Linked DNA regions of Anolis sagrei. The protein of the gene in region 2 purifies or fractionates together with the protein of the main gene of each other region. This does not show direct contact. Links are inferred from orthologs where the notes say so. Each region holds a gene or a part of one and is shown on either strand. Other genes may lie near its edges.

What was found.
Region 1: the proteins of KCNJ4 (region 2) and DLG4 purify together in Homo sapiens (affinity purification with western blotting, with the first as the bait; 3 studies listed by BioGRID). This does not show direct contact. The link is inferred for Anolis sagrei from reciprocal best matches to the Homo sapiens genes KCNJ4 and DLG4.

Annotation. Positions count from the first base shown.
Region 1 is NC_090026.1:4,287,733-4,299,110, reverse strand, and holds the start of DLG4 (disks large homolog 4), read left to right. Parts: upstream 1-5,627; 5' UTR 5,628-5,681; coding exon 5,682-5,700; intron 5,701-11,378. UniProt on the Homo sapiens protein: Postsynaptic scaffolding protein that plays a critical role in synaptogenesis and synaptic plasticity by providing a platform for the postsynaptic clustering of crucial synaptic proteins.
Region 2 is NC_090025.1:164,044,987-164,057,308, reverse strand, and holds the start of KCNJ4 (inward rectifier potassium channel 4), read right to left. Parts: upstream 5,096-12,322; 5' UTR 4,532-5,095; intron 1-4,531. UniProt on the Homo sapiens protein: Inward rectifier potassium channels are characterized by a greater tendency to allow potassium to flow into the cell rather than out of it.

The DNA.
Region 1 (11,378 bases), on a different chromosome or scaffold from region 2:
ACCTCTTTGAGATAGAAATGCCTTAATGCGCCCCTTAAGCACGGGGAACCTATGCAGACACATTAGAAGCCATAGTTGCCCTGAGCTCAATGGAACGGAAGCCTTACGCACACTTTTCCTTTTGGGTTTGGCTCCTTTTTTGTAGACATTGAGCTCTCGGTTTGTCGTCTCCCATCCTCTTCTCCCACAATTATAATAATAATAATAAATTTGGGGAAATTGGATCCCGAAACCCACCCGATTGTTTTGTTTTCACGTCCCAATAATCCATGAATTTGGCTATAAAAATCCAAAGAGTGTCTCGTTTTCAGGTTTTTTTCCCAATCCATGTTGTTGTCATCTCCTTACGATTATTAAATACCTTTCACTAATAGTTTGGAAGTGAAGCTGGGTGCTGTGATTGTTTCCAAACGTGGCAATTGCAAGAGGCCGAGGATGGATAGGAAATACAGAAAAGAGGGTGCATTGCAAGGCAGGTTGCTACACATCAGAGTGCATCCACACTGCAGAATTAATCCAGTTTCATACTACTTTTAACTAGGCTGACCCCATGATATGGAAATCCAGGGCTTTGGAGTTGGCAAAGAAAACAAAACTCACCAAACTCCTCTGGGACTTCCGGATTCAGACAGACAGAGTTTTGGAGCAAGACTCCTGACCTCACGATTGTGTTAAAAAACAAAGTATGGATTGTTGATGTTGCAATCCCGGGTGACAGCAGGATTGAAGAGAAACAACTAGAAAAGCTGACACGATATGATGATTTAAAGATCGAACTGCAAAGATTGGCACAAGCCAGTCAAGGCGGTCCCAGTGGTGATCGGCACAATGGGTGCAGTGCCTAAAGACCTTGGCTTGCACTTAAAAACAATTAGGGCTCACAAAATCACCACCTGTCAGCTGCAAAAGGCCACCTTTCTCAGATCTTTGAGAGTTCTTGGAGAACGGGAGAAGTTCCAGCAGATTGGAGGAGGGTCAATGTGGTCCCAATCTTCAAGAAGGGAAAAAAGGACGACCCAAACAACTACCGTCCGGTCAGCCTCACGTCGATACCGGGCAAGATTCTGGAAAAGATTGTTAAGGAAGTGGTCTGCAAACACTTAGAAACAAAAGCAGTCATCGCTAATAGTCAACATGGATTTATCAAAAACAAGTCATGTCAGACTAATCTGATCTCTTTCTTCGATAGAGCTACAAGCTGGGTAGATGCAGGGAATGCCGTGGATGTAGCGTACCTGGATTTCAGTAATGACCTTCTGGCAAGGAAACTAGTCCAATGTGGGCTAGGCAGAACTACGGTGAGGTGGATCTGGAATTGCTTAAGTGGACGAACACAGAGAGTGCTCACTAATGCTTCCTCTTCATCTTGGAAAGAAGTGACAAGTGGAGTGCCGCAGGGTTCCGTCCTGGGCCCGGTCCTGTTCAACATCTTTATTAATGACTTAGATGAAGGGCTAGAAGGCAGGATCATCAAGTTTGCAGACGACACCAAATTGGGAGGGATAGCCAAGACTCCAGAGGACAGGAGCAGGATTCAAAACGATCTTGACAGATTAGAGAGATGGGCCAAAACTAACAAAATGAAGTTCAACAGTGACAAATGCAAGATACTCCACTTTGGCAGAAAAAATGAGATGCAAAGATACAGAATGGGTGACGCCTGGCTCGAGAGCAGTACGTGTGAAAAAGATCTTGGAGTCCTCGTGGACAACAAGTTAAACATGAGCCAACAATGTGATGTGGCGGCAAAAAAAGCCAATGGGATTTTGGCCTGCATCAATAGGAGCCTAGTGTCTAGATCTAAGGAAGTAATGCTCCCCATGCTCTATTCCGCCTTGGTTAGACCACATCTGGAATATTGTGTCCAATTCTGGGCACCACAATTCAAGAGAGATATTGACAAGCTGGAATGTGTCCAGAGGAGGGCGACTCAAATGATCAAGGGTCTGGAGAACAAGCCCTATGAGGAGCGGCTTAGAGAACTGGGCATGTTTAGCCTGAAGAAGAGAAGGCTGAGAGGAGATATGATAGACATGTATAAATATGTGAGAGGAAGCCACAGGGAGGAGGAGGGAGCAAGCTTGTTTTCTGCTTCCCTGGAGACTAGGACGCAATGGGACAATGGCTTCAAACTACAAGAGAGGAGATTCCATCTGAACATTAGGAAGAACTTCCTGACTGTGAGAGCCGTTCAGCAGTGGAACTCTCTGCCCCGGAGTGTGGTGGAGGCTCCTTCTTTGGAAGCTTTTAAGCAGAGGCTGGATGGCCATTTGTCAGGGGTGATTTGAATGCAATATTCCTGCTTCTTGGCAGAATGGGGTTGGACTGGATGGCCCAGGAGGTCTCTTCCAACTCTTTGATTCTAGGATTCTATGATCTGCACACATTATTTGCCGATGCATCACACAGTCCTAGATACTTGGAAAGTGTCTGACATGTGATCTAATACAAAAACCAGCATAGGAATGTTGTTGTGTTTCAAATAATAATAATATAAGCCTTCCTTTAATAATAATAATAATCATCATCATCATCTAAGCTTGCTTTTTGAAGATACCTAAAATGTCTAACAACAACAACAACAACATTGCAATGCCAGGTGACTGCGAAATTGATGAAAAACAACTGGAAAAACTTACACGATATGAGGATTTAAAGAATTGCAAAGACTCTGGCACAAGCCAATCAAGGGGGTCCCAGTGGTGATCGGCACACTAGGTACATTGCCTAAAGACCTTGGCTTGCACTTAAAACCAATTGGTGCTGACAAATTTACCATCTGTCGGTTGCAAAAGGCCACCTGACTCGGATCTGCACACATTATTTGCCAATACACACCGTCCTAGACACTTGGGAAGGGTCCGACGTGTGATCCAATACAACAGCCAGCAGAGTGACCTTTGCTGTGTAATTTTTTTTGTCATGTCAGGAGCAAGTCGTTTCTGGTGTGAGAGAATTGGCCGTCTGCAAGGACGTTGCCCAGGGGACACCTGGATGATTTGATGTTTTATCATCCTTGTGGGAGGCTTCTCTCATGTCCCCGCGTGAGGAGCTGGAGCTGATAGAGGGAGCTCATCCGCCTCTCCCTGGATTCAAACCTGCGACCTGTCGGTCTTCAGTCCTGCCAGCACAGGGGTGTAACCCACTGCGCCACCGGGGGCTCTGGCTGCTGTGTAATAATCTTGTGTTTCAAATAATAATAATAATTATTATTATTATTGTTATTATTTATTTATTTATCGTGTCATCAGCAACCATACCATTGTATTACAATTCTAACAGAACAAAACAAACACACAGATTAAAAAGGGAAAAGGGAAAAAAAAAACACGGATTTTGCAAACTTGGTAGTTGGTTAAATGTCCTTTGACCAGTATCTGGCCACTGGTATTGACGAAAAAAGGTCCTCCATTGTGCATGTGGCAGGGCTCAGGTTGCATTGCAGCAGGTGGTCAGTGGTTTGTTCTCTGCACTCGCATGTTGTGGACTCCACTTTGTGGCCCCATTTCTTAAGATTGGCTCTGCATCTCGTGGTGCCAGAGCGCAGTCTGTTCAGCGCCTTCCAAGTCGCCCAGTCTTCTGTGTGCCCAGGAAGGAGTTTCTCATCTGGTATCATCCACGGATTGAGGTGCTGGGTTTGGGCCTGCCACTTTTGGACTCTCGCTTGCTGAGGTGTTCCAGCGAGTGTCTCTGTAGATCTAAGAAAACTATGTCTTGATTTAAGTCATTGACATGCTGGCTGATACTCAAACAGGGGATGAGCTGGAGATGTCTCTGCCTTGGTCCTTTCACTATTGGCTGCTGCTTCCCAGCGAATGTCAGGAGGTGCAATACTGGCTAGACAGTGTAATTTCTCCAGTGGTGTAGGGCGCAGACATCCTGTGATAATGTGGCATGTCTCATTAAGAGCCACATCCACTGTTTTAGCGTGGTGAGATGTGTTCCACACTGGGCATGCATACTCAGCAGCAGAGTACCATAGCGCAAGGGCAGATGTCTTCACTGTGTCTGGTTGTGATCCCCAGGTTGTGCCAGTCAGCTTTCGTATGATGTTGTTTCTAGCGCCCACTTTTTGCTTGATGTTCAGGCAGTGCTTCTTGTAGGTCAGAGCACGGTCCAAAGTGACTCCCAGGAATTTGGGTGTGCTGCAATGCTCCAGTGGGATTCCTTCCCAGGTAATCCTCAGAGCTCGGGATGCTTGTCTGTTCTTAAGGTAATAATAATATTATAATAATAACAACAACAACAACAATAATGCAAGTGAAACAAACGGTAGAAGAAGAGGAACACGCACTGGAAGATTATGTGAAAGGCAATCAAGAACCAACATTGAGGGAAGTCAATAGCAGAAAACTGCTCAAAGTGCAAAAGACAAAGAGTGAATACTGTAAAAACACAACCCAGAGCAGAAGAGAAAACTGGCGAAAGAAGAAGGCTCTCCATGGACAGTTCCTGGGAAAAATTGAGAGTCAAATTGACAAAGAAAAAACATGGCTGTGGCTCACAAATGGGACTTTGAAAAAGGAGACGAAGGAGGGCCTGATTCTGGCAGCCCAAGAACAAGCCATTCGAAGCAAGGCCATCAAAGCCAGAATTGAAAAGTCGATGACAGATCCCAAGTGTAGACTCTGCAAGGAAGCAGCTGAAACAATAGATCCCATCCTCAGCTGCTGCAAGAAGATCGCGGACAGACTACAAGCAGAGGCACAACACCGATGTTCAGATGATCCATTGGAACTTGTGCCACAAACACCATCTACCTGAGACAAAGAACTGGTGGGATCACAAGCCGGAAAGAGTTACAGAGAATGAACACGCCAAACTCCTCTGGGACTTCCAGATTCAGACTGACAGAGTTGTGGACCACAAGACTCCTGACTTCACAATTGTGTTAAAAACCAAAGTATGGATTGTCGATGTCGCAATCCCAGGTGAGAGCAGGATTGAAGAGAAACAACTGGAAAAGCTGACATGATATGAGGAATTAAAGATGGAACTGCAAAGACTCTGGCACAAGCCAGTCAAGGTGGTCCCAGTGGTGGTTGGCACACTGGGTGCAGTGCCTAAAGACCTTGGCCTGCACTTAAACACAATCGGCTCTGACAAGATTACCATCTGCCAGCTGCAAAAGGCCATCTTACTGGGATCTACATGCATTATTCGCCGATACAGCCAGCAGAGTGATCTTGTTTGCTGTGCACTCATCTTGTGTGTTGTTGTTGTTCATTCGTTCAGTCGTCTCCGACTCTTCGTGACCTCATGGAACAGCCCACGCCAGAGCTCCCTGTCGGCCGTCACCACCCCCAGCTTCTTCAAGGTCAGTCCAGTCATTTCAAGGATGCCATCCATCCATCTTGTGTACCTAATAATAATAATAATAATAATAATAATAATAATAAGCCTGCCTTTTGAACATGCCACAAATGCCGTTACAAAACAGGGCAGGCTTTGGCAGGAACTGATTTTCAGAAACCTCACGTCCAACTTTCTGAACCGGAAAACAGCTGTGTGAGAGTAACTTCGGAGGGGTCAAGAGAGAAGAACTACACATCCCAGGATGCCTCGGAGCGGAGGAAGACGGGTCAGAGGTTGCAATCTGCTGGGCAAATCTCTTAAGCTGGCAGATGTTTGGGAAGGGAGATTAGGAGATTAAGGTTGTACATGTACAAACCGCCTGCGAGATGCCCGTGAACAGACAAGGTAAGGCCGAGGCCGGGTTCGCCTTTTGTGGATTATTATTATTTGTCCCCCTCTTTGGCAAATGGGGGGGGGGATATATTCAGAATATATTTGGGGTTTGGGGTGCAATTTTCCCTTAGGGACATTATGGCATGCTGTGATGTGGTACCAATATGGATAGGGAGAAACTATCCCAGGGGAGTACCCGACCAATAGCAAACAACGTGGATCAATTACTTGAGATATCAATTCCTTGCTCTCTTGTGTGCAGTTGATTGGGACATTGATTGATCATGTTATCCATACAGCAGAATAATAATAGAGTTTTTTGGGCTACATGGACATGTTCTAGAGGCATTCTCTCCTGACGTTTCGCCTGCATCTAGGGCAAGCATCCTCAGAGGTATTGAGGTCTGTTGGAACTAGGAAAAGGGGTTTATATATCTGTGGAATGACCAGGGTGGGACAAAGGACTCTTGTCTGCTGGAGCTAGGTGTGAATGTTTCAACTGATCACCTTGATTAGCATTTGATGGCTTGACAGTGCCTGGAGCAAACTTTTGCTGAGAGGTGATTAGATGTCCTTGTTGGGTTGTTGTATGTTTTTTCCGGGCTATATGGCCATGCTCTAGAGGCATTCTCTCCTGACGTTTCGCCTGCATCTATGGCAAGCATCCTCAGAGGGAGTGAGGTCTGTTGGAACTAGAAACGAGGTTTATATATCTGTGGAATGACTAGGGTGGGACAAAGGACTCTTGTCTGTTGGAGCTAGGTGTGAATGTTTCAACTGACTACCTTGATTAGCATTTGATGGCCTGGCTGTTGTTTGGTGTGGCTTGTTGGTGCATCAAGGTGGTCAGTTGAAACATTCACACCTAGCTCCAGCAGACAAGAGTCCTTTGTCCCACCCTGGTCATTCCACAGATATATAAACCCCTTTTCCTACTTCCAACAGACCTCACTACCTCTGAGGATGCTTGCCATAAATGCAGGGGAAATGTCAGGAGAGAATGCCTCTAGAACATGGCTATATAGCCCAAAAAAACCTACAACAACCCAATGATTCCTGCCATGAAAGCCTTTGACAATACAATAATAGTATAAATCTTGGATTGTTAAACCATTGATCCCTCAACCCAAACATTTCCCAAAGTCCATAGGGTAGGACTCCAATTCCCATCATCCCCATCAAATTTGGATTGAAAGACATTAGGAAGGACTTCCTGACTGTGAGAGCTGTTCAGCAGTGGAACTCTCTGCCCTAGAGTGTGGTGGACGCTCCTTCTTTGGAGGCTTTCATACAGAGGCTGGATGGCCATCTGTCGGGGGTGCTTTGAATGCAATTTTCCTGCTTCTTGGCAAAATGGGGTTGGACTGGATGGCCCATGAGGTCTCTTCCAACTCTAGGATTCTATGACTGAACGAGATGTATATCATCAATCATCCAACTTAGTTTGCTATGTTTTCTTTGGACTCGAAACTAAATTGCAAAAAAAAAGTTATGATTTATGCCTTATGACAGTGTTTCTTAACCTGGGGGTCGGGACACCTGAGGGGGTCGTGAGGGGGTGTCAAAGGGGTCGCCAAAGACCATCAGAAAACAGAGTATTTTCTGGTGGTCATTGGGATTCTGTGTGGGAAGTTTGACCCAATTCTATTGTTGGTCAGGTTCAGAATGCTCTTTGATTGTAGGTGAACTATAAATCCCAGCAACTACAACTCCCAAATGCCAAGGTCTATTTCCCCCAAACTCCACGAGTGTTCACATTTGGGCATATTGAGTAGCTGTGCCAAATTTGGTCCAGATCCATCATTGTTTGAGTCCACAGCACTCTCTGGATGTAGGTGAACTACAACTCCAAAACCCAAGGTCAATGCCCACCAAAACCTTCCAGTCTTTTCTCTTGGTCGTAGGAGTTCTGTGTGCCAAGGCTGGTTCAATTCCATCATTGGTGGAGTTCAGAATGCTCTTAGATTGTAGGTGAACTATAAATCCCAGTAACTACAACTCCTAAATGGCGAGGTCTATTTTCCCCAAACTCGACCAGTGTTCATATTGAATATTTGTGCCAAATTTGGTCCAGATCCATCATTGTTTGAGTCCACAGCATTCTCTGGATGTAGGTGAACTACAACTCCAAAACTCAAAGTCAATGCCCACCAAACCCTTCCAGTCTTTTCTCTTGGTCATGGGAGTTCTGTGTGCCAAGGCTGGTTCAATTCCATCATTGGTGGAGTTCAGAATGCTTTTTTATTGTCGGTGAACTATAGATCCCAGCAACTACAACTCACAAACAACAAAATCAATTCCCCCCAACTCCACCAGCATTCAAATTTGGGTGTATTGGGTATATGTGCCAAATTTGGTCCAGTGAATGAAAATACATCCCGCAGATCAGATATTTACATTACAATTCATAACAGTAGAAAAAAGACTGTTAGGAGGTAGCAACGAAAATAATGTGATGGTTGGGGGTCACCACAAATGAGGAACCGTATTAAGGGGTCGTGGCATTAGGAAGGTTGAGAACCACTGCTTTAAAGTTATTGATAATTTATTGCTAACACTTCCACTCTATAATTTCATGAATCCATTCCCCAATGTAGCTACTTCTCTAACTTTTGGTCACATTCCTATCCAAGACTTGGACAGCCATGGCTCCCAAAGGGACCCATTTAAGGTGGAATCAGGTGTCAAACAATGGAACCATGCGATTTGTAAGCAATGGAACCATGGGATTTGTAGTTTGGTGAGGTACCAGAGGAGCTTGGACCATTTCAATGGGCTTTATGTTCCTTTTGCAGCCTTACAATATCAGTCAATGGCTTTTTTTCCTTCTCGGTTGACGAAGGCATCCTTTTGCCGTGTTCTGCTGTGCAGCCATGTGCCACCCGCCCTATATTTGTAGATCAGTCTGTTCTGCTCTAAATGCAGAGCCGTGTTCCGTATTTACGGCATCTTCTTGCACTGAATTCAGGGATTCGTTCAGATGAAACCGTAGAAAGCTCCCCATTGATTGCTGTTCGCCCAGGGGCGGCTCGTCCATTATGCGAAGTAAGCGGTCGCAAAACACTTTTTTTTTGCCAGGGGTGCAGAGGAGCCTCTGTAAATGCCCCTCGACCGCCAGGGATAGCCAATACTCCAGAGGACAGGAGCAGAATTCAAAACGATCTTGACAGATTAGAGAGATGGGCCAAAACTAACAAAATGAAGTTCAACAGTGACAAATGCAAGATACTCCACTTTGGCAGAAAAAATGAAATGCAAAGAGACAGAATGGGGGACGATGAGGCCTGGCTCGAGAGCAGTACGTGTGAAAAAGATCTTGGAGTCCTCGTGGACAACAAGTTAAACATGAGCCAACAATGTGATGTGGCGGCAAAAAAAGCCAATGGGATTTTGGCCTGCATCAATAGGAGCCTAGTGTCTAGATCTAGGGAAGTCATGCTACCCCTCTATTCTGCTTTGGTTAGACCACACCTGGAATATTGTGTCCAATTCTGGGCACCACAATTCAAGAGAGATATTGACAAGCTGGAATGTGTCCAGAGGTGGGCGACTAAAATGATCCAGGGTCTGGAGAACAAGCCCTATGAGGAGCGGCTTAGGGAACTGGGCATGTTTAGCCTGAAGAAGAGAAGGCTGAGAGGAGATAGGATAGCCATGTATAAATATGTGAGAGGAAGCCACAGGGAGGAGGGAGCAAGCTTGTTTTCTGCTTCCTTGGAGACTAGGACGCGGAACAATGGCTTCAAACTACAAGAGAGGAGATTCCATCTGAAAATGAGGAAGAACTTCCTGATTGTGAGAGCCGTTCAGCAGTGGAACTCTCTGCCCCGGAGTGTGGTGGAGGCTCCTTCTTTGGAAGCTTTTAAGCAGAGGCTGGATGGCCATCTGTCAGGGGTGATTTGAATGCAATATTCCTGCTTCTTGGCAGAATGGGGTTGGACTGGATGGCCCATGAGGTCTCTTCCAACTCTTTGATTCTATGATTCTATGACTTGAGGAGCCCCCCTCAGCTCACAACAGCCCTAGCAGTCCGGGGGGAGCCTCGGCTTTCTTGCCTCGCTGCCGGGCGATCCTCTTCCCAAAGGGGCCGTGCCCTTGAGCCTCACCTAGCCCCTCTCGTTCCTACTCCACCTGGCCACCAGGTGCGCGAGCAGAGCCGGCACTCAATCGTTCTCCGTGTTCGATCCCTTCCCCATGACCGGCTCCCTTTCCTGATCCCCCGGCGCTCCACCTGCCTCCTCTCCTCTCCCCAATCCACGGGTGGGCCAATTTATTTTATTTATTTATTTCGGGGTTCTTTTACCCCGCCCTTCTCACCCCGAAGGGGACTCAGGGCGGCTTACAAAAACAAAGGCACAATTCGATGCCTGCATCACAGAACAATCAAACACAAAATTACAAAATTACATCAATTCACAGGTAACAACGATTCAAGCATTATACCCATAAAATCAATAAAATCAATACAACCAATACAAACCCAATTCCTCCTCCTACGTGGTCAGCGTTCGCTAACTCATAGTTCTAATTTTCCGTTCCACTTCGTCAATCCTGTTGGTCTTACTCGCCTGAATGTCTTATTTAATTGCCAGAGTGCCCAAAGGCCTGGTCCCATAGCCACGTCTTTACCCTCCTCCTGAAGGAGAGGAGGGATGATGATGTCCTGATTTCCCCCGGGAGTGAGTTCCACAGGTGAGGGGCCACCACCAGAAGGCCCTGCTCCTTGTCCCCACCAGCCTCACTTGTGACAGTGGTGGGGTTGAGAGCAGGGCCTCCCCAGATGATCTCAGACTCCGAGGTGGGACGTAGAGGGAGATACGTTCGGACAGATACACTGGACCGGAACCGTACAATTGTGCTTGGAACTGAACCGGCAGCCAGTGGAGCTGGCACAGCAGGGGGGTGGTATGCTCCCTGTATGTCGCTCCGGTGAGCAGTCTGGCTGCCGCTCGCTGGACTAGTTGAAGTTTCCGAACAGTCTTCAAGGGCAACCCCACGTAGAGAGCGTTGCAGTAGTCTATTCGGGATGTAACCAGAGCGTGGACCACCGTGGCCAGATCAGACTCCCCAAGGTACGGGCGCAGCTGGCGCACAAATTTTAATTGCGCAAAAGCTCTCCTGGCCACTGCCGAAACCTGGGGTTCCAGGCTCAGCGATGAGTCCAGGATCACACCCAAGCTGCGAACCTGCGTCTTCAGGGGGAGTGTAACCCCGCCTAACACAGGCTGTCACCCTATGCCCTGTTCGGCCTTACGACTGACCAGGAGGACCTCTGTCTTGTCTGGATACAGTTTCAATTTGTTAGCGCTCATCCAGTCCGATACAGCAGCTAGACACCGATTCAAGGTCTGGACAGCCAAGGTGGAGCCACTGCGCCTGGCCCGCTTCGGGTCCAGAGGCATGTCTGAAGACCCCAGCGTGCGCACCAAAAGTCGCCTCTTCTCCTGACTTACTCTTCAGCCATTGGGACCAAGAGAGAGAGAGAGAGAGAGAGAGAGAGAGAGAGAGGTGAAGGTAGGCGCAAAAACAAAGGAGGGAGTGGAGGTGGGAGATACCTCCAGCCGGAGGGCTTCTCTCTCTCTCTCTCTCTCTCTCTCTCTCTCTCTCTCTCTCTTGGTCCCAATGGCTGAAGAGAAAGTCAGGTATCTCCCACCTCCACTCCCTCCTTTGTTTTTGTGCCTACCTTCAGG
Region 2 (12,322 bases):
GCTAGGGAGGGCTGACTGTATTCCTCGTGGTATCATGCACAACTGAGCTAAATGGAGATCGATTTGCTTACGCGATGTCACCAACTCATCTTTAGGCCAAATTCCCTCTCACAGTATACAAATAATTGCAGTATCATCATTACACTGCTATCAAATGCATGCATTTGGCCCTATTATAGGCCCTCTAGGCTTTAATGACTCCTAACTGGAGCTCCATGATCAATAATTCCATATTAAATGGTTTCTGTCTGTGAGGCTTTCACAGTGTAATCCTACTTATGTACCAATAATAGTTTCTAACTAGAGCAGGCATGGGCCAACTTGGGCCCTCCAGGTATTTTGGACTTCAAGTCCCAGAATTCCTAACAGCCTCAGGCCCTTTTCTTTTCCCCCTCAGCCGCTTAAGCCCCAGCTTCCACCAACCTAGCAGTTCAAAAACATGTAAATGTGAGTAGGTCAATAGGTACAGCGCTCCATGCAGGTATGCTGGCCGCATGACTTAGGAAGTGTCTACGGACAATGCCGGCTCTTCAGCTTAGAGTCGGGCACAACTAGACTACATGGTGGCACATGTATGGCATACATGTATGGCATACATAATTTTCCACCAATAGAGAATTTGGGTCACCCAGGAAGAAACTATTCAAATTCAAGCCAGCTAACACCTCCCAGCAAAGGATTCCCCCAGGCAGGAAGCAGCCAGGCTTTGAAGCTACAAGGCCATTCAATGCTAATCAAGGTGGCCAATTGCAACATTCATGCCTCAAACAGAGAAGAGTTCTTTCTCCCACCCTGGATATTCCACAGTTATATAAACCTCACTTGCCTAGTTTCCAACAGACCTCACAAACTCTGAGGATGCCTGCCGTAGATGTGGGTGAAGATAATGCATCTGGAACATGGCCATACAGCCTGGAACACTCACAACAAACCGAATGATAACTACTTGCACTTTGTTTATATAACAAGACTTTGTGGTCATTATCACTATTGTGTGCCTTCAAGTCATTTCTGATTTAGGGCAACCCGAAGCCCATATCATGTGGTTTTCTTGGCAAGATTTGTTCAGAGGAGAGTTGCCATTGCCTTCTTCTGAGATAGTGCACTTGCCCTAGGGAACCCACTGGGTTTTCAGTTCAAGAAGAGATTCGAACCCTGATCTCCTGGAGTCCTAGTCCAACTCTCAAACCACTATTCTAGGCTGGCACTCCATCATGATCTTTGCATCTGGTGAAGGAGACAGGTAGATATATATCAAGCATGGGCAAACTTTGGCCTTCCAAGTGTTTTGGGCTTCTATTCCCACAATTCCTAACAGCCGGTCAAAAACACCTGGAGGGTTGAAGTTTGCCTGTACCTGATATATAGTGTGCTATCACAAATCAACACTATTTCCACACCCAACACATGTGCCACAAGTGTGTCTTCTTGCAATTAGTTTCAACTTATTTAAAGAAATTCTGGATTCCTACGCTACTTTGTATAGATCAGGCATGGCCAAACTTTCTAACTTGGGAACCGCATGCTAGTACTCCCTGCGAAGAGGAATGGCTTCTCGGTGAAGGAAAGAAGGAAGCGAAGGAGGAAGGAAAGAGAGAAGGAAGGAAAGACGAAAGGGAGGAAGGGAAATATGGAAGGAGAAAAAGGGAGAGAGGGAAGGAGGGAGAAAAGAGGGAAGGAAGGAAAGACAAAAGGGAAGGAAGGGTGAAAGGGTGGAAAGGAAGGGTGGAAGGAAGGAGGAAGGAAAAAGAGAAGGAAGAAAGGGAGGAAGAGAAGGACGTAAGGGAGGCAGGAAGGGAAGAGGGCAGGAAGGATGAAAGGAAGGAAGGGAAAGATGGAAGGAGAAGGAGGGAGAGGGGAAGGAGAAAGGAAAGAGGGAAGGAGGAAAGGCAAAAGGGAAGGAAGGATGAAAGGGTGGAATGGAAGAAGGAAAGAGGGAAGGAAGGAAGGAAGGGAAGAAGAGAAGGGTGGATGGAAGGAAGGGGAAAAGGAAAGAGTGAAGGAAGGAAAGACAAAAGGGAAGCAAGGAAGGAGAAAGGGAAAAGGGAAGGAGAGAGGGAAGAGGGAAGGAAGGGAGGACGAAAGGGTGGAAGGGAAGGATGGAGTGAAGGGAAAGAAGGAGGAAGGAAAAAGGGAAGGAAGAAAGGGAGGGAGGGAGGAAAGAAGGCAAGAAGGATGAAAGGGATGAAGGGAAGGATGGAAGGAGGAGGAAGAGGGGAAGAAGAAAGAGAAGTGGGAAGGGGGAAAGACAAAAGGGAAGGAAGGATGAAAGGGTGGAAGGGAAGGATGGAAGTTAGGAAGGGAAAAAGGAAAGAGAAGGAAGGAAAGAAAGAAAAGGGAAGGAAGGAGAAAGAGAGAGAAGGAGAGAGGAAAGAGAGAAGGAAGGGAGGACGAAAGGGTGGAAAGGAGGGAGGGAGGGAGAAAGAGGGAGGTAAAGAAGGGAGAGAGTAAAGGAGCAAGGAAAGAGAGAAGGGCTAAAGGATAGGATGGTGAGAGAGAGGAGGGCCTGAGAAAAGAGCCCCTGAGTCTGGGTTTGCCCATGCCTGATATAGATTGTATTATTCCTGATGATTCACTTCTACTGCCCCTAAGATGATGTTCAACATCATCTTAATGTGAAACAGAAGAATAAATGGTATCCATATAAACATTCTCTTTGTAACATGGGGTAGCATGGACAGAGTCCCTGAGACTACAAATAACATAAGCACATAAGCTATTTTTGTTTTAGTTCCATTGTTCTGGAATCCTGTGAGCATCCCACTCATGAGAAGAACCCATTAGAAATGTATCCTACTGACATCATTCCATAACACTTTGAAATTAGTAGTTTGAACATAACAACCTAAGAAACTACCTTAAAGAAGAATTGTCCAAACCAATTGGGTGGGGTGAGGTGGGGTGGATGACTGAAGAACTGAGCATTCATCAAGCTGGGTTAAAAATATGGTCTGCAGAGAAACTGGTACCATTAGAACCTTAACATTTAGTGCAAGCAAATATTTCTGATTAAATGGTATACATTTTTTTAAAACCAGAAGACTTGAGGCATCTTAATTATGGAAAGATATAATTGTAACTTAAGATTTTATGTACCAGCATCTACATTACTGAAATAAAATGATTTGGGGGGGGGGGGGATGTCCCTATAAACATTTACAGACACATATCATCAGCATAGGAAATTCATCAGCTCCAATCTCAAGCATGTGCATAGTACATTACTACTGTTATATTGTGCCTATAAGTTATTTCCATTTTATGGTGAACCAAAGGTTTTCTTGGCAAGATTTGTTTACAGCAGTGGTTCTCAAACTTCTTAATGCCACGATCCCTTAATAGAGATCACCGTGCTGTGGTGACCCCCCCCCTTGCATCAAAAATTATTTTTGTTGCTACTTCATAACTATAATTTTGCAACTGTTATGAATTATAATGTAAATATCTGATATGCAGGATGTATTGTCATTCACTGGAACAAATTTGGCACAAATACCCAATACACCCACATTTGAATACTGGTGGGGTTGGGTGTGTGTGTGATTTTATCATTTGGGGGTTGGAGCTGCTGGGATTTATAGTTTACCCACAATCAAAGAGTATTCTAAACTCCACCAATGATGGAATGGAACCAATCTTGGCAGACAGAACTCCCATAACCAACAGAAAATACTGGAAGGGTTTGGTGAGCATCAGGCCCGTAGCCAGAATTTTGATTCGGGGGGCAGGGCGGGGGGGGGGGGGGCTGTGTTTGATTCTGGGGGGGGGGGTCAGGATCTACCCTAGCAAACCTTTTGTATTATTATCCCAATACACCCATGCATATGGGATATACTGAGCATGGTGATCAGATCATGATATGAATAAACATAACAGTTTAAATAATGTACCAGTAAGGCCTTCTCACGGACCACCCTGGTGGGCATTGACCTTGAGTTTTGAAGTTGTAGTTCACCTACATCCAGAGAGCACTGTGGACTCAAACAATGATGGATGTGGACCAAACTTTGCACGAATCCTCAATATGCCCAAATGTGAACACTGGTGGAGTTTGAGGAAAAAAGACTTTTACATTTAGGAATTGTAGTAGCTGGGATATATCGATCACCTACAATAAAAAAGCATTCTGAACCCCACCAAGGATAGAATTGGGCCAAACTTTCCACACAGACCCCCACGTCCAACAGAAAATACTGTGTTTTCTGATGTTCTTTGGCGACCCCTCTGAGACTCATTCGTGATCCCTCTCAGGGGTCCCAATCCCCAGATTGAGGAATGCTGCAGTAAGCAATCTGAATTACTGTATATACATAACAAATGACTAGTATAGGAGCCTTGTAGAAAGTTGCTATTTCCAACAGATTTTGGAAATATCCCCAGGGGTCTCGCTTGTTTACAGGTCATCCAGTGTATTTCCAAAGCCAAAGTGTGGATTTGACCACTGGCTTCCCAGAGTCAAAGTCCAACAATCAAACCACAACACTCTGGCTCTCAGTGACATTGTACATAATGACAACAAATAGTCTCTTACCTGGTGTGTAGTCAGCCTATTTCCATCTGAATCCTGAAAATCCAGCTTTCAAGAGGAGGATAAAAAGAGAAAAATTGCCAGCACCTCATCCAGCTTGGGTTACATCCCCTAAATTTGTTTGGTCTCCTGGTCGCTCTGTTTTGCTTGCCTTCCACATCACTCACAACACTTGGTCTGGGTCCAACTTTCTTTCATTCATTTCTTAGCCGGCCTCTTGGTTCCTCTTTGTTCTGGACTTTATTGTTGCTTTGTGAAGAGTTCCCATCCATAGATTCAAGTGCTCCCCGGGCACTTGAAGCAATACTTTTGAGATAGTCCTTTTCCTCACTACTGTTTACCCCCCTCCCGTTTCATTAACTCCCCTCTTCCCAGGACGCTCTCCTTCCTTCTTGTTCCTTCTCTCGCTCTCAAATCATTTGTTTCCCTGTTTTGCTCTGCAGCCTGTAGCTGAGAAGTCACTAACTCTGCTAGAATACACCAGCCTTCCACTACTTTAACCCATCCCTGCATGTGAGCTCACAACCATGGATACACGCTGCAGATGCAGTGATGGAAAGACGGGAGCGCAATCCAAAGCAGTGGAAACATTAATGGGGACACGTGTGCCGGGCAGTGCAGAGCCCTCGGCATCTTTGCACAGAGCACTCTGGCCTGCAAAGGTTTGCCATCCACTCCAGAACACAGTTTAAAACCTACTTTCATTTTTTTATTCTTTTCCTAAAGATTATCCCTGAGCCTAATTCAGAAGAGCATACTTAAGTCACTCAACTTCTATCATACTTTTCTTTTCTTTTTTTTCTTTTTCTTTTGTTTATGATGTCTGTTTTATTATTGCTTATGATGTTGGTTGTATGCTGTTTTTATTTTTATTTGCCTTGTTTTAACTATATGTTAGGGGACCTGAGAAAAGCCTCCTCACAGGATTGCAAGACATCCGGGCATTATATCATACGAAAGCTGACTGGCACAACCTGGAGATGACAACCAGACACAGTGAAGACATCTGCCCTTGCGCTATGCTACTCTGCTGCTGAGTATGCATGCCCAGTGTGGAACACATCTCACCACGCTAAAACAGTAGATGTGGCTCTTAATGAAACATGTCGCATTATCACAGGGTGTCTGTGCCCTACACCACTAGAGAAATTACACTGTTTAGCCGGTATTGCACCACCTGACATCCGCTGGGAAGTAGCAGCCAATAGTGAAAGTACCAAGGCAGAGACATCTCCAGCTCATCCCCTGTTGGATATCAGCCAGCATGTCAATGACTTAAATCAAGAAATAGTTTTCTAAGATCTACAGAGACATTCGCTGGAACACCTCAGCAAGCGAGAGTCCAAAAGTGGCAGGCTCAAACCCAGAACCTCAATCAATGGCTGATACCAAATGAGAGACTCCCCCCTGGGCACACAGAAGACTGGGCGACATGGAAGGCATTGAACAGACTGCATTTTGGGACCACAAGATGCAGAGCCAACTTTAAGAAATGGGGCTACAAAGTGGAATCCATGACATGCGAGTGTGGAGAAGAGCAAACTACAGAGCTCTGCTGCGATGCAACCTGAGCCCTGCCACATGCACAATGGAGGACCTTCTTGCAGCAACACCAGAGGCACTCCAAGTGGCCAGCTACTGGTTAAAGGACATTTAATCAACTACCAAGCTTGCAAACTTTGTGGTTTGTTTGTTTGTTAAAAAATGCAATACAACTGTTTGGTCTGCTCCTGACACGATAAATAAATAAACTATATGTTTTTTGGGCTTGGCCCCATGTAAGCTGCCCCACGTCCCTTCGGGGAGATGGAGGCAGGGTAGAAAAATAAAGTTCTTCTTCTTCTATGTGGTGCTATCCTTTGTTCACAGGCTTCGTGCCTTTCAAGGAGGGTGCAGGCCTGTGTCCCCCCCCCCCCTTTGTTTTTGGGCAAGGATTGGGGTGAAAAAGGTTCAACAAGGCGTTTGGGTTTCTTCTCAGCCAGCAAGCTATTACATTCAGTGAAATGCTTTCATCTTACAGTCAATAGTTGCTCCAGTAGTTACAAAATAAGGGGTTTTAATACCTTTGTTGTCCCAGACATTTGGAGAACTGTTTTGTTGTTGTGGATTGTGGCTCTTTATTTTCGCTGTTGGATTCTATCATACCTTTCTAAGCATCTCCACGATTCCCTTATTGTGGCACAACTAACAGGATCAACTCTAGACTCTGTTGAAAAACTCAAATGGTCCTTCACCTCTAATAATAAAAATGTACCACAATCCACTAGTACATTCTGCATTAGCTTTTACTTTTTTCGTGTCAGGAGTGACTTCTGCTGTGAGAGAATTGGCCATCTGCAAGGACGTTGCCCATGGAATGCCAGGATGTTTTTGATATTTTACCATCCTTGTGGGAGGCTTCTCTCATGTCCCTGTACAGGGAGCTAGAGCTGACAGAGGGAGCCCATCCACACTCTCCCTGGATTTGAACCTCCAACCTCTTGGTCTTCAGTCCCGCCAGCACAAGGGTTTAACCCATTGCGCCACCAGGGGTTCCTCTGTATTACCTACATCAAAATGAGCTGTCAGGAGGAACTTTGCATCTGAATACCCTCCAACTGGCAGGAACAGTCTCAACTAATCCTAATCTAATTGCTAATTGCTAGTCTAATTGCTATACCTATGGAAGTGCTCTTTAAGTGGCTCCTCATAGGGCTTGTTCTCCAGACCCTTGATCATATTAGTCACCCTCCTCTGGACACATTCCAGCCTGTCAACATCTCCCTTCAATTGCGATGCCCAGAATTGGACACAATGTGATTCCAGATGTGGTCTGACCAAAGCAGAATATAGAGGTAGCATGACTTCCCTGGATCTAGACACTATACTCCTATTGATGCAGGCCAAAATCCCATTGGCTTTTTTGCCACTGCATGACATTGTTGCTGCCGCATGACATTGTTTAACTTGTTGTCCACAAAGACTCCAAGATCTTTTTCACATGTACTGCTCTTGAGCCAGGTGCTCCGCATTCTTTATCTTTGCATTTCCTTTTTTCTGCCTAAGTGGAGTATCTTGCATTTGTCCCTGTTGAATTTCATTTTGTTAGTTTTGGCCAATCATCTCTCCAATCTGTTCAGATCGTTTTGAATTCTGCTCCTGGCTTCTGGAATATTGGCTATCCCTCCCAATTTGGTGTTGTCTGCAAACTTGATGGTCATGCCTTCTAATCCTTCACTTAAGTCATTAATGTTGAATAGGTCTGGGCCCAGGACATAACCCTGAGGCACTCCACTTGTCACTTCTTTCCAGGATGAAGAGGAAACTTTGGTGAACACCCTTTGGGTTCGTTTGCTTAACCAATTACAGATCCACCTAACCATAGTTTTGCCTAGCCCACATTGGACTAGTCTGTTTGCCAGAAGGTCATGGGGACCTTGTTGAAGTCCTTACTGAAATCCAGATACTCTACATCACGGCGTTCCCTGCATCTATCCAGCTTGTAACTCTATCGGAAAAAAGATGGTGGTTCAAGATGCCTTTGTAAACACAGAGCCAGGTGTTTCAGGTTTTTTAAAGCAATAGTCATATAGGAAGTAGTAGATCTTCCTGTCTTTGTTCTGGTCAATCAAGGCCATTCCAATATTGTGTGAAAGCATTTATATACAAAGGTGTATTCAAGTTAAGGAAACAATGGTGGAAAGAGGAAATAGTGGGAAGAGACTAGGCTCTCTCTTGATATTGTACTGAAATTAAAGCAAAGGAGGTGGAATCTTGCGTTTTTCACACATTTATTTTGTGTCAACTAAACCCACTTTACATCTTTATTTACACAAGCATTTTTGTTTACATTTTTTTTTTTACTTTTCAGATGTTGCCTGTATGCTGCCATTGTGTTCTACTCTGCTGTGACCTTTGTTCATTATTCATGGTTTTACTGTTGTTCTGAATGCTGGTTTTGTAAATTAACTTGAAAGCTTTAAGTAAAGATTGACTGATATATTTTTTCAAATAATGAAAACAGCTGTGATACAATCATATATATGTAAGTATGTATGTCTGTCTGTATGCATGCATGTAAAAGGTAAATTTATTTATTTATTTATTTGCATTATTTCTACCCTGCTCATAGCCCTGACATTAAATCTAGTCGTGTCTGACTCTGGGGGATGGTGCTCATCTTCATTTCAAAGGTGAAGAGCTAGTGTTGTCCGTAGACACCTCCAAGGTCATGTGGCCAGCATGACTGCCTTCAGAGCCAACGAAGTGGTACCTATTGATTTACTCACATTTGCATGTTTTCGAACTGCTAGTTTGGCAGAAGCTGGGGCTAACAATGGGAGCTCACTTTGTCCTGCGGATTCAAACTGCCGACCTTCCAGTCAGCAAGTTCTGCAGCTTAGCAGTTTAACCCTCTGTGCCACCTTTACTATTTTAATTTACTACTTATAATAGCAGGAGCTCACCCCACTTGCCAGATTCGAACCACCAACCTTTCTGTCAGCAAGTTCAGCAGCTCAGTGGTTTAACCCGCAGCACCACCAGGGTGTCCCTTTTATATATATAGTATTCCCTTATTCCCTTATTTGCCATATATGCTGGAAAAATTCCTGAGTATGTCCAAATGTGAACACTGGTGGAATTTGGGGTGAAAAAACTTGACGTTTGGGAATTGAAGTTGCTGTGATTTATAGTTCACCTACAATCAAAGAGCATTCTGAACACCACCAATGATAGAATTGGGCCAAACTTCCCACACAGAATCTCCATGATCAACAGAAAATACTGTGTTTTCTGATGGTCTTTGGCGACCCCTCTGACACTCCCTCGTGACCCCCAGGGGTCCCAACCCCCAGGTTGAGAAACGCTGCCTTAAGGGTTAAAGTTTTTTTTAGGGACTATTTTTGCTGGATATATTTCAAAGGTAGAATTAATTGGAAGGTATGGATTTGGTGTATGAGATAATTCCCCCCCCCCCCCAATTAGTAAGTTTGGCCGCCATCCACCCTCTTTGGGCACTGTCTATTCATTTGCTGTATCTATTATGTTTTCATTGGCCCAACTAAAAGGTACAAAAGTCATGACTATATTTTGATTTCAATAATTAAATTGTGGAATAATTGTTTAATTTTCATACACCTGGGTGGTAAGACACCAAAGGAAAGAAAAGTAGCTAATTAATTGACACAGCGATACTGTAATTTACTACAGACCACAATCAGTGCAGTAGGTTTGGCCTCACTGTTGTTCCAGCTGATTGGGGAATGAATTTGCAAGGTTCGTATGTTCTTTCTTTGATGCCTTGCCTGCTTTTCAATAAAACTTGGTACAGTACTCTCAGGCTTATTGCATTTGAGTTCAAGAAAGAACCTTTGCCTTTGGCCAAACAAAACTGCAGCTGGGAGAGTCAAATAGTGTTATCATACTGTGGCGTTTACTGTAATGGCAAGGCATTGGGTCCCCCTTGTGTCTCAGCCTTATCATACAATGCTCTCCAAGCACTGGACACAGCATATTATTTGAGAACACTGAAATGCTGGACCACTTTAACAACTAACATGTCAGTCTACATAGAGATCCACTGAAATCCACTAGTATGTGGATAATTTCAACGGAAAGGAGGAAACCATGAAAATAAACAAAACCTGGCTACCAGTATTTAAAAAAACTCTAAAATCAGGACAGTGAATAAAGAGCAACACTCAAAAAACAGGGGAATTCCAGACAAGGAACAATCAGGCCAACTGATCAACTCCCAACAAAGGATTTCCCCCAGGCAGGAAGCAGCCAGGCTTTGAAGCTGCAAGGCTATTAAATGCTAAAGCCCCATACAAATGATACTGTTAAAGCACAAATGTGGCAAGAGTGTGATGGAGAGCATGGCTAATCAGCGACTCTCACAAAGCTGGCTGGAGTGTTTCTCCAATGGAATAATATAACATGAAGAAGTGATTTGATAAGGCCCAAAGCACCAATATAATCCGGTGCACCAATCCCAGGTATATATAGTTCTTCATTTTGGAATTATGGCTCTAGTAACACTCACATCTGCCTGTTTTGTTTTGGAACTGAATACATTATCTGTTGCTAAGAAACTGTGTGTTTTATCCAGGCAGTTGTTGTTTTAGTTCTGATCCACTGTTTAATTCTAAGATGACTTTAGATTTTCATAGATCTCTGCCCCAGAGTGTGGTGGAGGCTCCTTCTTTGGGGGCTTTTAAACAGAGGCTGGATGGCCATCTGTCGGGGGTGCTTTGAATGCAATTTTCCTGCTTCTTGGCAGGAGGTTGGACTGGACGGCCCACAAGGTCTCTACCAACTCTGTGATTCTATGATTTAAAAAAACAATCAGTAAAAATAAATCTGGCATAAAGAGGGTCATTTTTGTTTTGACTGTATGAAGCATTAAAAACACCAGGTATCTCTTTCACCCTTGTCTTTTTCACCTATATATACTTTCCATGCATATTGAGTATGTCAGAGATATATAGAGCGAATCTACTAATCTTTTATTGCATGGGTCAGCAAGGCAAAGTGATTCGTATCATGGTCAAGTCTTCATTCTTGTTCTGCAGTTGATGATTTGTAGTCAAATGAATGTATTGGGTTCATTGGAGATGACAATATTAGAGCGATACAAGTCAATATAAACTTTATCAATCTAAGGTTGTTTGATACCTTTCATGTATGAAATGTTTGGGCTGACTCCACTCAAGAACACAGTGTTCAAATGTGTTGTCGACAGCTTTCATGGCCAGAAATCTCTGGGTTGCTGTGAGTTTTCTGAGCTGTAAGGCCATGTTCCAGAAGCATTCTCTCCTGACGTTTCACCCACATTTATGGCAGGCATCCTCAGAAGTTGTGAGATCTGTTGGAAACTAGGCAAGTGAGGTCAACTGGTCCCTGGTCAAAAAAAGGTTGGGAACCACTGATCTACACAGTAGAATTAATACAGTGTGACACCACCATGGCTCAATGCTATGTATTCCTGGAAGTTGCAGTTTGGTGAAGCACCAGCACTCTTTGGCAGAGGAGGTTAAAGATTTTGCCAAGATACAACTCCCATGATTCAAATTGTCTTTGAGTGTCCATGTGAAAGATCTTCTTCCAGCAGCTCAGAAGCAGAAAATAATACTAACTTATCTTGGCAAGCTTCTTTACAGAAAACCTAAGCATGTAACTGTTGCCAAATTCCCAGGCTCCGCTAGCATCCTGAGTGTAGCCTAACCAATCAGCTTCATGCTTTGCATTTTTCAGTTAACACACTCACCAACTGATTTTTTACATGCTCCAACACGGTCAACTAGCAGTGCCAACCACTCAGATTCAGACTGACTATACAAATATAGTTATTTCAGATTGTGTGGAAAGGAGCTGAAAAGAACGTTGAAAAGGAGCTGCAAACATAGGGTAGAAGTTTGAAGATCTTGTCCTTCATGAATTGGCCTAAATAATTAATAAACATGTTTATTCTACTGGTTTGGAGCATACTGTATCTTGTAGGAACAAATTCAGCGACAAGACATCTGTAGTAAAGATTTTCCTTGTATCTGAGAAGAAATTAAGACTGCATTAGACACTTCATTTTCTGTCATAAGTATTTGACTTATTTTCTGAGATAGAATCACGGGCGATGAATGTAGAACGGAGACCTTTCACACCTTTCTGCTTAAAGACATTGTTCACTTTTTCCATCAATATTCTTCAGTCATAGCAAACCCTATGAATCGCAGACTGAAGTCAGTGGGCATGGCATCTGGATAGCGCACTCTGCCTACCACCTACCTTGTTTTACCAGCTGCTCTCTTTATTAAG